2 linked regions of the Drosophila melanogaster genome follow. The protein of the gene in region 2 interacts with the protein of the main gene of each other region in a pairwise test. Each region holds a gene or a part of one and is shown on either strand. Other genes may lie near its edges.

Evidence for each region. Proteins that work in one complex are often made in the same cells at the same time.
Region 1: the proteins of beat-IIIa (region 2) and Dlc90F interact in a two-hybrid assay, tested with the Drosophila melanogaster proteins (one large-scale study listed by BioGRID).

The regions. Positions count from the first base shown.
Region 1 is NT_033777.3:18,295,628-18,300,826, reverse strand, and holds Dlc90F (dynein light chain 90F), read right to left. Parts: upstream 1,599-5,199; 5' UTR 1,406-1,598; coding exon 1,070-1,405; 3' UTR 783-1,069; downstream 1-782. Other genes in the region: Polr1E (RNA polymerase I subunit E), read left to right, coding at 1-454. UniProt on the Drosophila melanogaster protein: Acts as one of several non-catalytic accessory components of the cytoplasmic dynein complex that are thought to be involved in linking dynein to cargos and to adapter proteins that regulate dynein function.
Region 2 is NT_033779.5:17,127,929-17,136,481, reverse strand, and holds the start of beat-IIIa (beaten path IIIa), read right to left. Parts: upstream 5,459-8,553; 5' UTR 4,858-5,458; intron 3,000-4,857; 5' UTR 2,865-2,999; coding exon 2,666-2,864; intron 1-2,665.

The DNA of each region.
Region 1 (5,199 bases), on a different chromosome or scaffold from region 2:
ATGTTTGGCCAAAATTCAGGAAAATCCCGTTTCATCCAAGCGAGACTTCTTGCACATTAAACTTATCATCTACATGGACGCCTTGCAGTCGCTAATTTCCCTTCGTTCGCGTCAAATGCAAAAGGCTGAGCTCTCTGGTATCACGGAGAAGATCGAGAATGATATACGCCATCGTTTTGCGGATCCCAATGTGGCAAAGAAGGGAACTCGCACCAATTTCAGCAGTGAAAAGGCACTGACACACTTTATTGTGATGGCCCTGCTCCTCAGTGAGAAGTTCGAAGTGGACATCAATGTCCTCTCCCGTGCTTTGGCCACCACCAAGGCTCGGATCAAGCAGTACGCCCACATTGTGAACGCTCTGCCAAAATCCAATTCGGACATCCTTAGCCTGCGCCTGCCCAGCAAGGTTCCGGCTCTAAAGTCGGGCCGTCGCTTCCAGCGCAAGAAGTAGGAGTATCTTCAAGGACACCGCGCCCGCCATCGATTTAACAAACCCTGGCGCGCCAATTACATTTATTGCATCCAGGTACTTCTGATTTTGTTATTTTGGGCAATGCCAGAAGGAATATTATTATTCTAAACGATAGAAGGTTTTGATAAACTAAAATAAATAAAGAAATAAGAGAAAGACCATTAAAGTTTAATTTTAACAAATGCCTGGGAATTTAAATCGATTTTAGACCAATGGCCAATTGCTGCCATGGAAACGAAAAATATTCCCACGACCCAAAAAATGATGACCCATTGAAAACAGTTTGCAATGATTAACTTATTATGCTACGGTATTATACACTTTTTATTTACGTTTTTAGATTGAAAATCAAGAATAACATTAGGCGAGTACACTGGCAACGGAATAGTTGCTTGCTAATTGCTTGGAAGTGACGACAAGGTTTTCAAGTGCTCCATAATAAATTTTGTTATTACAGCAGGATGGATGGCCGATCAAAAAAGTATGGTATTTGTGTTGTTGGTGTGTGCTGGTGTACGACGGCAATCTTGTTAGTCCCTCCCCCTTTTAAGTCATCTTCATCGCGAATTCCGGCAGTCCTGCCATTCCTCCACTCTAGACGGCCAGTCCGAAGACCGAAACGATGCAGTACATGGTCTTGTTCTCCCAGCGTACTGTGCACGATCCGTCGGTGTCGTTGTTCCAGTAGCAGGAGCTGGCGGTGTGGAGTCCAGCACCGTTCTTTTGCATGATCATGGCGGTCACAATGTACTTGTAGGGCTTCTGCTCCTTGGTGAGCACCGTCAGGCAGTTCTCCACCACCTGGCCGGTCCAGTTGTTCACCTTGTCGTGCTGGTAGGCGTTACCGCCGATGGTCGTCTCGATGGCCTCTTTAATCGTCTTGCTCACGTCGTCCACAATGAACTGGCTTTCTTCGCGTGAGTCATCCATCGTCGCAGCTTTGATTTGCTTCTAACGGCAGCTGGTCAAAAAAGTTTACGTACTGAGCTCAAGTTTGTATTGTTGTCGTTGTAAATGTGCGCGCGTTTTTGGGCTCGTCGGCGGCGTTCGAGCAGTCCAAATAATATATATCGGGATTCTATTTTTCTAAGGGATGCGGAAAGCAAAGTTTGCTTTTAATTTGGAAGTATTTTCTTGGGCACCTTGATCTGGTCAGACTGTGTTGCAATTTAACCGGAGAAACGGTTACATCGTGGGTCATTTCAGCATCTTCACACTAGAGATTTCAAGAGAAGAAACAGTTGTCTTTTATTAAAAACAAAGGTTTCGCTATCAACATTTTCCAAAGCAATTAGTCAAGGAGAGTATAATTAGATTAAGTACTTTCAAAAGGAACCAAACAAGTTAAAACCTATTATAACCATGATGCCAGTGGAAACACATCTAAGCATTTAAATTAATCGATAGAAAACAGTGCTGAAAACCGCGGGAAAATTAAACTTTTAATCGCTGGATTATTTCGACTGCAAGCCACGGTCACTCTGGCAGAATCAACATAACGGACGCGTTCGCGGCGCAATAAAAACGAAAAATAATTAAATTATTCCATAACTCTTCTGCGACACCATTGAAAAACATCGACGCATATCAAGGCCGACAAATATCGCTATTAAATGCACAGCTGAAAGCGATTCGTGCAGCACGTCGTTGAATTGAATTAAATTCGTTATGGGAAAGTGCCTTGGTGTGTGTGTGCGTGCGTATAATTAAGCAAAAGTATTTAGCAAATCGAAGGCGCACATTTCGCAATACACGCTGCGAAATAATCGGGTGATAATTGTCGCAGCTGCAGGCGCACTTCCTTCTCCATCTCCTGCTTTCTTCGTTTTTGTCTCTGCGGATACGTGCTACTACTTTTGCAGCTGCTGTTCAGCTATTTAGCGCGTGTGTGTGAGTGCGCTCCGCGGCTGCTGCTGTTGTTGTTTTTGTTGGCTCACCTCTCGTTAACCACCTTGAATGCGAGTGAACGAGCGAGAGGGGGTGAGAAGAGTGCAAAGTTGATGCCCGCGAGTGTGCGCTTGTCTCTCTGTGTGTGTATGACAACAAATTGAGTGCGACTGTGTGCGTGCGGCATTAGTCACTCTCTTTAACTTTTAACTGTTTTGGTCCACCCTCTGCGAACCAAAAAGGCAAAGACAAAAAAAAACCACTAAACCAACTTTGCGGATCGGTTTTTTTTTTTTGAATCGAAACGAATCGGATCGGAACGAATCGGAAATCACCAAAAGGTTAGTTACCCGCAATTGATATTTAACCACAACATCACCCTGACAACTGCTTGCTTTTGCAAACATACATACATATGTAACATCACTCCACCATTCTCATCAAAGTTTTGCTCAAGCTACTTACTTAATTGAAATTCCAGTCAAGGTCGCATTTGTTAATTAATTAAATGTTTGCCCGGCTGACTGCAAGTATAAGGCAAAAGGGGAAACTTGGCGACTGCACAATAGTTATTGTACAATTCAAAAAGTATTGCATAAACCGATATGCTACGTTTGTTCCGACTGTTTACTCAAGCCTCAAGCGATAAGCGGGGAGTACAGTGACATTTATGGATGGGATGGGAAACCCATTTTCTGTTTTGACTGCATAATCGCCAGCACACGAAAAACACTGTCATTGCATTTAACGAATAACTGGAATTATTAGAGAACAGCTGCCTACATAAATACCGCTTCAAATGGTCACCATTGGTCACTAAATACACTTTTTTTACGAGTCATACATTTGCAGTTTTTCTCTCTGTGTAACTCTGCACGAAGCTTCTTCTTTACCCATTAATAAAATAGAAAACCGAAGGAGTTTCGTTTTCGTTTTGTCACTTTCGGACGCAGCAGGTGGTGCATTTGCGCGCTTACCTCACTTTCCAGCTGACTGACTTTCGGGCGATCCTCACATGGTAGCCATAACCATATAACATATGCTATTCCAGCACCCTTTTTCTCTACGCCAGTGCCCAGTGATAAAAACCCTTCGCAGAGCAATCTTCATATGACAAAAACAGGAAATGTATATCACGCAATGTATATATACATATATATATATATATATTACACAATCTTTTAGAGAAGTGCAATCTTATGAAATGCCAAGCAATAAAGCGGTTTAATATGCTTACTTAAATCGTATACACCGTTTCGTTATGATAACGGCAGATGATATCAAAAAGTATCAGAATATTAAATATTATTATACGCCCAAGGGTATCATTTATACGACTGAATCTGATGCTACACGCAAATGGCACAAAAGATCCTCTTTATAGGCTTTTCAAAGTGCATTGTTTTTTAACTACTGAAATGGGCGGCAAGTGTTTTGCTTTTGCACTCAGTACTCGGATACACATTGGAGTGCACAGAAATGTGGGCGTGTTCGAAAGTACTGATGTAAGCTTTCAGCTCTGATTGTGTTCAACTTTGACCCACATTCGCCAAGTGTCCCGCCATGAAACGCACGAGTGGATTGCAGGGGTAGGAGATGGAGGAGCATTCAGTGATGAATTTCATCTGCTGCTCCCCATATATTTTACATGCAAACGTGCAATTTTCAGACCGCATTGTTTGTCTAGAATTTGTGGGTTTAGCACAAAACTACATTGTATATGCAGTATGTCTATCAATAGTTGTGTGTATGTAAATACGCTTTTAGAACGAACTGCACGAGCTGGAATGGAACGGCAGGGAGAACAAAAAGTACAGAAAAATACATACATACATAATACGTACGTATGTATACGATGAACAGGAAAACGTGCTGACAATGTAGAATGGTTATTTCACCTATTTCATACTTATTCATTCCGCTTTTGCATAGCAAATAAAAATTAGTAGGAAGACTTGTGAAGACTATGCAAAATCTTGGGTTAAGTAAGTAAAACCCGTTTTTGCATTTGGGCTTTTGCCTGTTCTTCGCCTTTTCCGGTCTCCCCTATAAGAATTTTAGATTTTTTTTTTCTGTTAAGACTGCTGCTGCTTAGAGCGCCAAATTTGCCGATCAAATATTTGCTAGCGTGTATCTGCGTAAAGATTGTTGTCGCACCAGATTCAAGCTGTATCCACAAGCGCTCATTAATCTTTAACCCCTCGATGATAAAGAGCTCTTTCGACGAACGAGACTGCCTTTTAAAGATCGCCAGAGCTCAATAAACCTTAACCTCAAAGAATTGAACAAAGCATGGCTCTGTTTTCCCATCATTGCCCATCTTTATCGCACTTGATGTAAATTGAATGATTTCGGCTTCGTTGTTCTCTCCGTAATTTGCTTAATTGCATGAACGCATTGCGGGCACGTTCTTTTCGATTCTGATTCTGCCATATTGGGCAGGTTTTGAGGCGCTTGAAAAACAACTACTGACACCAGCGAAGGAAGCCAAAAGTTGGGCGTGTTTTTATAACCGTTAATCGTAGAGTAGGGCAAAGCTAGCCGAGTACAAAAAATCTTTTTTTGAACTCCGGAAGCTTGGACCACGCATCGTGGCTTTTTGCCACGTCACTCTAACGCCCTAAAGCCGTTAAAGCGGTCACGCCCACACTTTTGAAAATTGTTAAAATATTTTCTCATTTTGTTACCCAACATCATCGATATCCCAGAAAAATGATGAAATTTTGCATTCACACTAGCTGAGTAACGGGTATCTGATAGTCGAGGAAATCGACTTGATCATTCTCTCTTGTTTCAGTTAAGTTCATTTAACTTGCAATGTATGGCATTAAATTCAA
Region 2 (8,553 bases):
TGCGGCGACACAGTTTTATTTAAACATACATTTAAGCATACTTGAGCTTATGCTCAGCTTGCCGGCAACAATTTAATGGCAGTGTATGGACGAGGGGCTATGTACACCACAGAGATATAAGTGTGTCCTTACGTAGGCCGTAATGCCCACATATGCATTATCCGCATGGTATATTTTTTGCATATATGAACATTGGACCTTGAAATACTTATTAAATGTTGAATATCTTTTAAAAAATTAGCATCAGCATATGAAACCAGTGCACTGCAGTGTTTGGTACTAAGTTAAAGAGAGAAAATTATATAGCATACTTATATGGGCATGCAAAATCTATGCCGGCATTCTTACTTTGATATTTTTTTCTCAGAACTAATCAGAGTTTGTTAATCAAACTTGTGAAGCTTTTCACGAATGATATGATATTTGAAAAATGTTCCTTAAAAAAATTAAATCGACATCGATTGCCAGGAAATATACATATAAAAGAGAGGGAGAGACCCACGTCCTTCGTATCATTATTTAGACCCCTGTTGATTTTTTCTCTTTATTTTGTGTGTACTGAGTCAAGGGCGATTTCTACGTGGGCTCGACTTGATTAATGCGAAATTGTGTTACCCTCTAATGAGGGGGTGGCCGGCATAGGGATATCTATAGATATATGTGGATGTATCAATATAATAAGTAGGAGAGCTAAAGCAGGTGGAGCTTTTTTATTTGAGTTCGGTCATTATTTTCGCTAAATTCAATGGGAACGAGCTGAGTTTCCAATGAAATTTAAACGAATTTCATATTTACAGTTAGCCTGGGGGTGGTGGGCGTTTTCGGGGGACGCTGTCAGAAGCAATCAGGCTGCAGGCGCTGCTCGGCAATATCAAAGAGCGTATTAACATGCAAAGCAGGACCCACAACCAGAGTCGAAGTCAGAGCGCCAAAAATGAAAAGTAGTAGGTATGGGTTGAGTAAAATACAAAACAAAAAAAAAAAAAAAATGAAAAGAAAAAACAGACTGGCAAATAAGGAGACGCGAACTTGACTTGCCACAGAAGGCGCAACAAAATTGAAAACCATTAGGATTAATGTTTAGTTGAAAGATTTGCGCGTTAAGCCATTTTTACATGGCTGCCTTCGGCTGCTCCGATTGCTAATGTAGTTTATGTGTAGGAGTGGGCGGTGGGTGGCGCCTTTGGATTTCCCGATGCCAGGATGGCTCTTAGGCTCCCAGGGAGTATCCTTAACGCTAACTGACGTTGGCTTCTGCTGCGGATGCTGTTACTGCTGTTAGGCTTAAGGCGAGACGCTCAAACGACATGTAAAATGTGACATTTTAATGTATGCAAATGAGACATTGAATTAAGCCAACGCACCCACACAGGGGAAGGCAGAGAGCCAGGATAGGGAAAGAGGCGGATATAGGGAGAGCCGCAGGACCTGCAAGGATCCCCGCTGGTGTGCAAGCATTCACTTGGCTCCATATCCGTTTCCGCTGCTCAGCATTCCCATCTTTGTGCTCTGCCCTTTGTGATATGATTTGAAAATAATGAAAAGACAGTTACAGTCTTTCCACTCACTTTTTCGCCCCTCTACTTTTACGCCACCCCTATTAGAAACCCCATCACGTTTCTGCCCTGCCGGAAATGTCAACTTAACTGGCTTGAACTCGAAAAATGCGACAAAAGCAGCGCCACAGATGATTGAAAGTAATAAAGATAAAAAATATATACAAGAAATATTACTCTTCAAAACATGTGTATGGCTGTATATATTTCATAATATAAATATTTCATCCTAGAAATAGTACTGACAAATATGATGCAATTTATTTAACAAATATTTTTAAGGCAAGCATTTTTTCAAATTACAAATACCTAGCTCTGGATTGTAAATATTATGTTTGTAGAGTAAAAATAATAGAATTCCGAGGTCCCCTCTAATAACAAACAAGTAATCCTGAGTGGGGACTTCTTGGCAAATTTATTAATTTCTATTCCGTCTGCGTGCTCCAATTTGTTATTGTCGCCGCTTTTGTCTTTCGCCAATGGACTTGTTCGATTGTTTTGGTCTTTGGCTTTCAATTTGTTGATTGTTTTTCTTGGGATTTTCCCAGGAATTTGTTTTGAGGGAGCTGGATTTCCGTCCACACAAAGAATTCTGTAAAAATGTTTGAGTATGAAATGCGTAAACTTCTTGTTTGGCGTCAGATTTTCTGAGAAATGCTGGGGAAACATTTAAGATATTTGTTACTTCACTTGAAAGTTCTTGAGAAGTAAATGGAATAAAGAGAAAATTTCTTTGTTAATTTCTTTGTTTGGTAAAAGAGTTTTTTTGATTACTTAAATTAGCTTTTAATTAGATTTGACAAAAAAATGTGTGACCAGAACTTACCCGTAAAATTGCAATATTAAATACTTTCCCTGCTGGCAAGCAGAAGAAATCCCTTTACTGGAACTCAGGGGTACACTTGTTTAATTAGATCCCATCTATAAATTAATGCCGACTAAGGAACACTTTTGCCATTTGTGCTTAGATAAATCCCCCAGAATTTTTAGATAAATGCAAAAAAGATGCCCACATCCCCGGCCTGGCATTAATTATGACCCATTTTAAATGGTGCCCAAAAGAACCTTTTGTATATGCATACATATAGGGAGGGAGATTTATAACTCACCGATTAGGACTAGTATCACATGTAGGATATACCAGATCTGCAAACTCGTAGCCGCCGTCCTTGCTGTGGCCGATTTTCTCGCTCCTGGAGTTCCGTCCTGTTGCTCCATATTCATTCGCAGCTGTTGGTGGCATTGGTGGTGCTCGGTTTTATGGTGGTGCGGCAGCTGGTGCTGGGTGAATGGATCCTCCGCACACATCTTGGCTTCCGTTAAATGCCCCAAATGAGCCACGCCCACACGCACTAATGTCTTTATTAATTTCGGTGTGAAATTTTCACTTATTTCATTTGGACATTAAGTTGTTGTTTTGGGGCACCCCCTATACTGCTGCCTCTGTGCGGTAATAAAATGTTGGCTATTAATCACTTTTAATCGCGACGCGAACAAAAACAACGGGCAAGTTAAAGGCAAAAACTATTAAAGGACCTGAGGCTCCCCGCCCCATTTTGCTGCTTCCATCATATAGAGCGGCACTGCAGTCAAGTTAAAGACATAAATTTTCAAGCATTTTGGGAAAAGATTAATTACACAGCAGCCTTTTCTCGGTTCTGCGGCGGAAAAAGCGTGGAAAAGCGGAAAACGAAGGAAAGACCTTGCCACATAAATTCAAAATCCAGTTGCCGCTCGCTCCTTAACCCTTTGGTTGATTTAGAGCGTCAGGAAAACGCTTGCCAGGCAATTGAAGATGGTGACTAACAGCAAAAGCGGCGTTGGAAATTCACTAAAAGGTCGCCTTTTTTTTTCATTTAAACGGTGACATACAATATGCCAATTGCTTTAATTTTAGTAAGCCACAATCCTTCAAGTGCCTAACCACGATACTTATTTATAATCCAAACTAAGCACGCGCAGCTAGCTGTGCAATTATCATAAGCTAGTTAGGCGCTGTTTATTAAATGAAATACCAGGAATTTGGTTGCGGATTGGGGTCGAGCCACTGGGAACAACTCATATGTCAAGATTGGCAAAATTATGGCCTCATCTCAAACATACGTTAAATCGAAATTTATTGGTAATAGGGTTATTCGTTTCCAAATTGTTATTTTATTTATGACAGCAATTAAGGTTCAATAACATGCGGGCAACCAGATTTGAATTGTGATCAGTGCAATAATGAAAAACATTTCAACATGCATCTATGAAATTAAAAACATGAGATTAGAAACATTTTAAATGACGTTTGAAGTCTTTGTAAAGTTCCCTTTCAACAAAATAAACTATGAAAATATATTTTTTAACTTCTCGATCCATTTGGTATTTCTCATTAAAAGTCAATAAAACACGTACTTTTAGAAATTACACACGCCCACATTACACGAATGCTGGAAATGATTTATGGGCATTTGCAAATCCAGTGACAGCACGAACAATTAACAAATATTTATAAATATACTGTCATTCCACGACAGATAGCAATAATATTCAATTTTTTCCGATTAATTCCCTTTTTTTGGCATTTCACTTTGTTTAAAGCCAACAATGGCTGGATAAACACAAATAAATAGCCAACAAGTCAGGTGCAGATAATAAAGCAACAACATCAGCAGCTGTTGTTTAAATTACAGCAACAATAAAATCGCGTACACCCACAGAACCAACAACTCTGGAAAGTGGGACGCCCAAAAGCAGGCAGTACTGAATAAATGGTCAGGACCCCGCCTTATATACAGGACACTATATCTATTCCAACACGCCCAAGCAACATAATTAGCCTAAATTGAAGTAGAAGCTAAACAAGGGAGATGGCAATAGCGGCAAAAAGTGAAAAAAAAAAATACAAAATATAATTAAAGATTAAAATGCTCTCTGGCTGAATGTGAAATTTATGGTGTCGAGTTTTTAAGTTGAAGTTCTTGGCCCGAATCAGGAAAATAAAGCCGCCGTGTTTCGGTCTTACGTCTTTAAGGATACCGCTTTAATAATTACATAGACTGTATGCTGGAATGCAAAACAAATCAGATCATGTCAGTCATTCAACTTAATTACTTTGTATACTACATTTTTCAGTTTTTAGCTATTGTTACAAAAATAATGTTTTGCTAGAACGTTTTTTTTTATATACAAAAGTTGTTTGGGAATGTAACCTTCCTTCATACATCTATCATAATATTTCTAAAAAAAAAAATGCTCACTTAATACCATAAAACCAAACTGTTTACTTTTTTATTTAAAGGAATGGCAAACCAACTACAAAAACTGACGATGAAAAAGCTAAGGCCTCGCTCTTACAAGGTTCAGTTTTTGGTTTCTCCACTTTTTCGGTTGGCTCGACTATTTTTAATTTTTGTTAGTTTTGGGGTCGCCAGATGATTACTCCTTGTGTTCCACTTTTCGCGTTTTAATTAACCGCAACCGCAACAGTTTTCTCAGTTTTCCCAGCAATAACAACAAATGCCTGACAAATGTTTTCGGCACGCAACAAATGCGGCATTTCGAGCGGGGGCTCAAAGATTTTTCATTTCCACGACCTGCACTTGCTCACATTTTCATTGAATACGTTTTTGTTATTATTGCCGCCACACTTGCACTCTTTCGTTTTTATTTGAGAGTATTACGGGGCATTCCTACTTTTTTGTAAACACGTTATTACTTTTAGTGACCGCTCGCTCTCGCACACGCACATGCACAAAATTTGAAAGTGTGCGTGTTATTCGATTGGCTCAGTTTTCAGTTTCGGGTTTCGTTTGGCTCCTTCACAAAGAGGGGATTGTAACAACGCGCGCGACAAAAATGACGTGCGTTCACTTCAAAGTTGAAATAGCGACTAAAAAAAACTCATGCTCACAGTGCCTAACACGCGGGTGGCGCCCTCACTTGGCCAGCACTGGAAGCTTCTTGGGGGAATGTCCTTCGACGTAGCAAAGCGCAAGAGAAAAAGCTCGTTTTGCTCTCCTGCTCTCTCCTTATGCTTGTTTGTACCATTTCCAATTGTTTCAGATAACAGTGGCGTGTTTTTAACATCGAAACTTTCCTATAAATTATTAGAATGTGTGGTATGGCATACATAGGGAAATGTGCTGAAACATTTATGGCTTACAATAGCATAACATTTAGCCAACACCGCATACAGTCTGCCACAATTATTGCGAACCTTACGGGGATTTTCCTAGTATACGAAATGCTGTTAGCTATTTTAGTTTCAGGGCTACTTATACAAATCATGTTTTTTCGAATAATTACTAATAATACTTCAGTTTATAATTGATAGAATTTTAATAAGCTATCGAAATATATAAATACAATAAATGCTGAGAACATTATTAATTTCGGAATGAAAATTTATTTCAAGCTCGTAACCTCGTGTCGTTGTTCCCACGCACTATTGACTTAACCAAATTTCAAGGCTAGCGAGGCAATGCAATTAATTTGCACATTGTTTTCTGGTGCTCAATTAAACGCCATTAAACGAAGGACAAATAAAATTGTATATGCAAATAAATAAATGCGAATGTATAAGCTCAAATGAGAGTTGGCCCGAGAATCAAATATAAATGGCGCTTTGCTTAATGAAATAAAATGTAAATTTCACTGTCACTGTAAACCACTTAAAAATAAATATGAAAAATTATCACAATATTTAATGAACCAACAGACCAGAAAGCCAAACTCCAACTGATGACGTCAGAGCAGGGGGAGGGGGGTGGTGCGAAAGGGTTTTTAAAATTATCCCTGATATATGACTTTATCTATGCGATGCACACAACTGAACGAGGGGATTCGGGTTAAATGAGCGACTTTTGTTTGCCCACCAGCAATGACAATGAGCAAAAATGGAATTCAAATTGAAAATGAAAAATAATGCAAATAATTGAACTTTTTGCGCATTAATCGAGTTAAAGTTTCGTTTTGCATGACAAATTTAAAAGTGCGTTAAGAACATTACAAACTGTAGACCTTTTAAAGGTTTAACCCTGGTTTTCCGACGAGCTTCCTTCCTTTGAGTTTCCTGCCCTTCCGCCCTTCCACATGCAAATGTTGACCTTAAAACACTTAGAAAAGTTGCATATAAGAAACAAGTTTAAATTTATCAGTTTTCTATTTATTTCAAGTACTTTTATACGCGTTTGTCGTACAGTAAAAAGTTATACTAGGTTAGTTAGAGCGAATACAACCAGTACTGGTTGACGGCACAGAGTTTTTGAACACAAGTATAGTATGGAGTTCGAAGTAGCTACTGTGGTGCAGTTTTATTAATATGACGCAAGGACATTTACAGCAATCCCTATAACTTTAAAATGTTAAATACATTTTTCCTCCTACTTAACCTTCCCTACATTGAGTAACGCGTGATGGATTTTGACTACCACTGCATTACTTTAATTTAATGTATGAATACTATGAAAACTAAAAGTAATACCATATACACAAACTCAAGTTTAACTCCTTTAGTAACTAGATATTTTTTTGTCTGCATTTGCCTGGTACTACAGCTTCTATTCCAACTGGAAACTCTCTCCGGGACAGTGGCATTTCACTTCATTTCTGTGCCGGGTTGAAATCGGTGCAGCACTTGAAATTTTTAAGCTTATGTGGCTTTCAAATGGGACAACGCTACGAGAGGGTTAAGGGGCTAGAAGGAGTATTTAGCTCTCCTCTCTGTGTGCTTAGCTAATGGTTCAGTCTAGCTTAGGTAGCCCTAAAGGAGATTCCATTCCCAGTCAGAAACATTTGTGGCCTGCATAGCAAATCCTCCAACCAATAAAAGCACTAAGAGAAATATAGAAGTCTCTAAATGCACTTTAAGTTATTTGCTAATATTTCATATTGCTAGATTTTATGTTCTCATCTTTTCTCAACAAGAGCGTGTAGATTGGATTTCGAGTGAAATCGTAAATGAAACGAGTCAAGAGGGGAGATTCTTGATTTGAAGTAAACCCAAAGAGAGCCAATTAAAATTCAGTTCTTCTTATTAGCTGAACTGTATATCTTACCTTAAAGGTATTTATCAATACGAAACTGTCGTATTGTATTGTTACCCATTGATGGCCTTTAAAGTAGGCTCTCTCCACCAAGCTGAATTTACGTGTGATAACTTTACGCGCAGCTGTCATAAAAAATTCGCGCAAAAGAAATGTTTTCGGCCTGGCCCAAAGGGAGTGAATATGGGGTTGGGGGTAGGGTTAAGGGCACACTCATAAATTAATACGAAATACACTTAAACAAGAACAGCAAGAGAACGAGAAAAAAAGGAGGGGAAAAACTTTTGTACTCATTGATTTATAGCGTTAATATTTCTGCTTTAATGCATCAAATAAATTAAATTGTCTTACGCACCTTTCAGCAGTCGAAGCTGGGAAAACTTTGATGCCACTTCGGGGCAGGGTACGTGTCCAACAGAGCATTATTTCCAGCAAAAGAAAAGAGCGAGCAGCAAATGCATAACTTCGATTTTGTAAAAACAAATAAATATTCATAAAAAATTATTCTTTTCTCTCCCCCTTACACTCTTACACCCTGTCTCCCTCTTTCGTATTCCAGTCTTCGAAAAAAGCACTTTGCGGATCTTCAGTCGCCGCCGCTGTTTTGCATACAGAAGGAAAAAGTATGGGCAAAAGGCGTTTGAATTATAAATATTCATTTATGCTAAGCAAGGTGTTCGTTGGCCGGGCAGGGGGCTCTGGGGCGGGAATTTCTCCAGGTGTATTCGGGGGCGTTACCTTCGTCACGCCAGTTGCCTCCCCGCTTTTTTTTCGGCTGCTCCTTTCACTTCTGTTTCTGTCTTGGCCTCTTTACCAACAGGTCGTATGATTGATTTAATTACGGTGTAAAGCGTGCTATTTTCAGCCATAGCAGCAGTCTTCTTTTTTTATGTTGAGAAGAGTAAACATGCTGCATTCAGACTTCTGTTCTTACCTACAATATATTATAGAAATAAAATTCGTTCTTT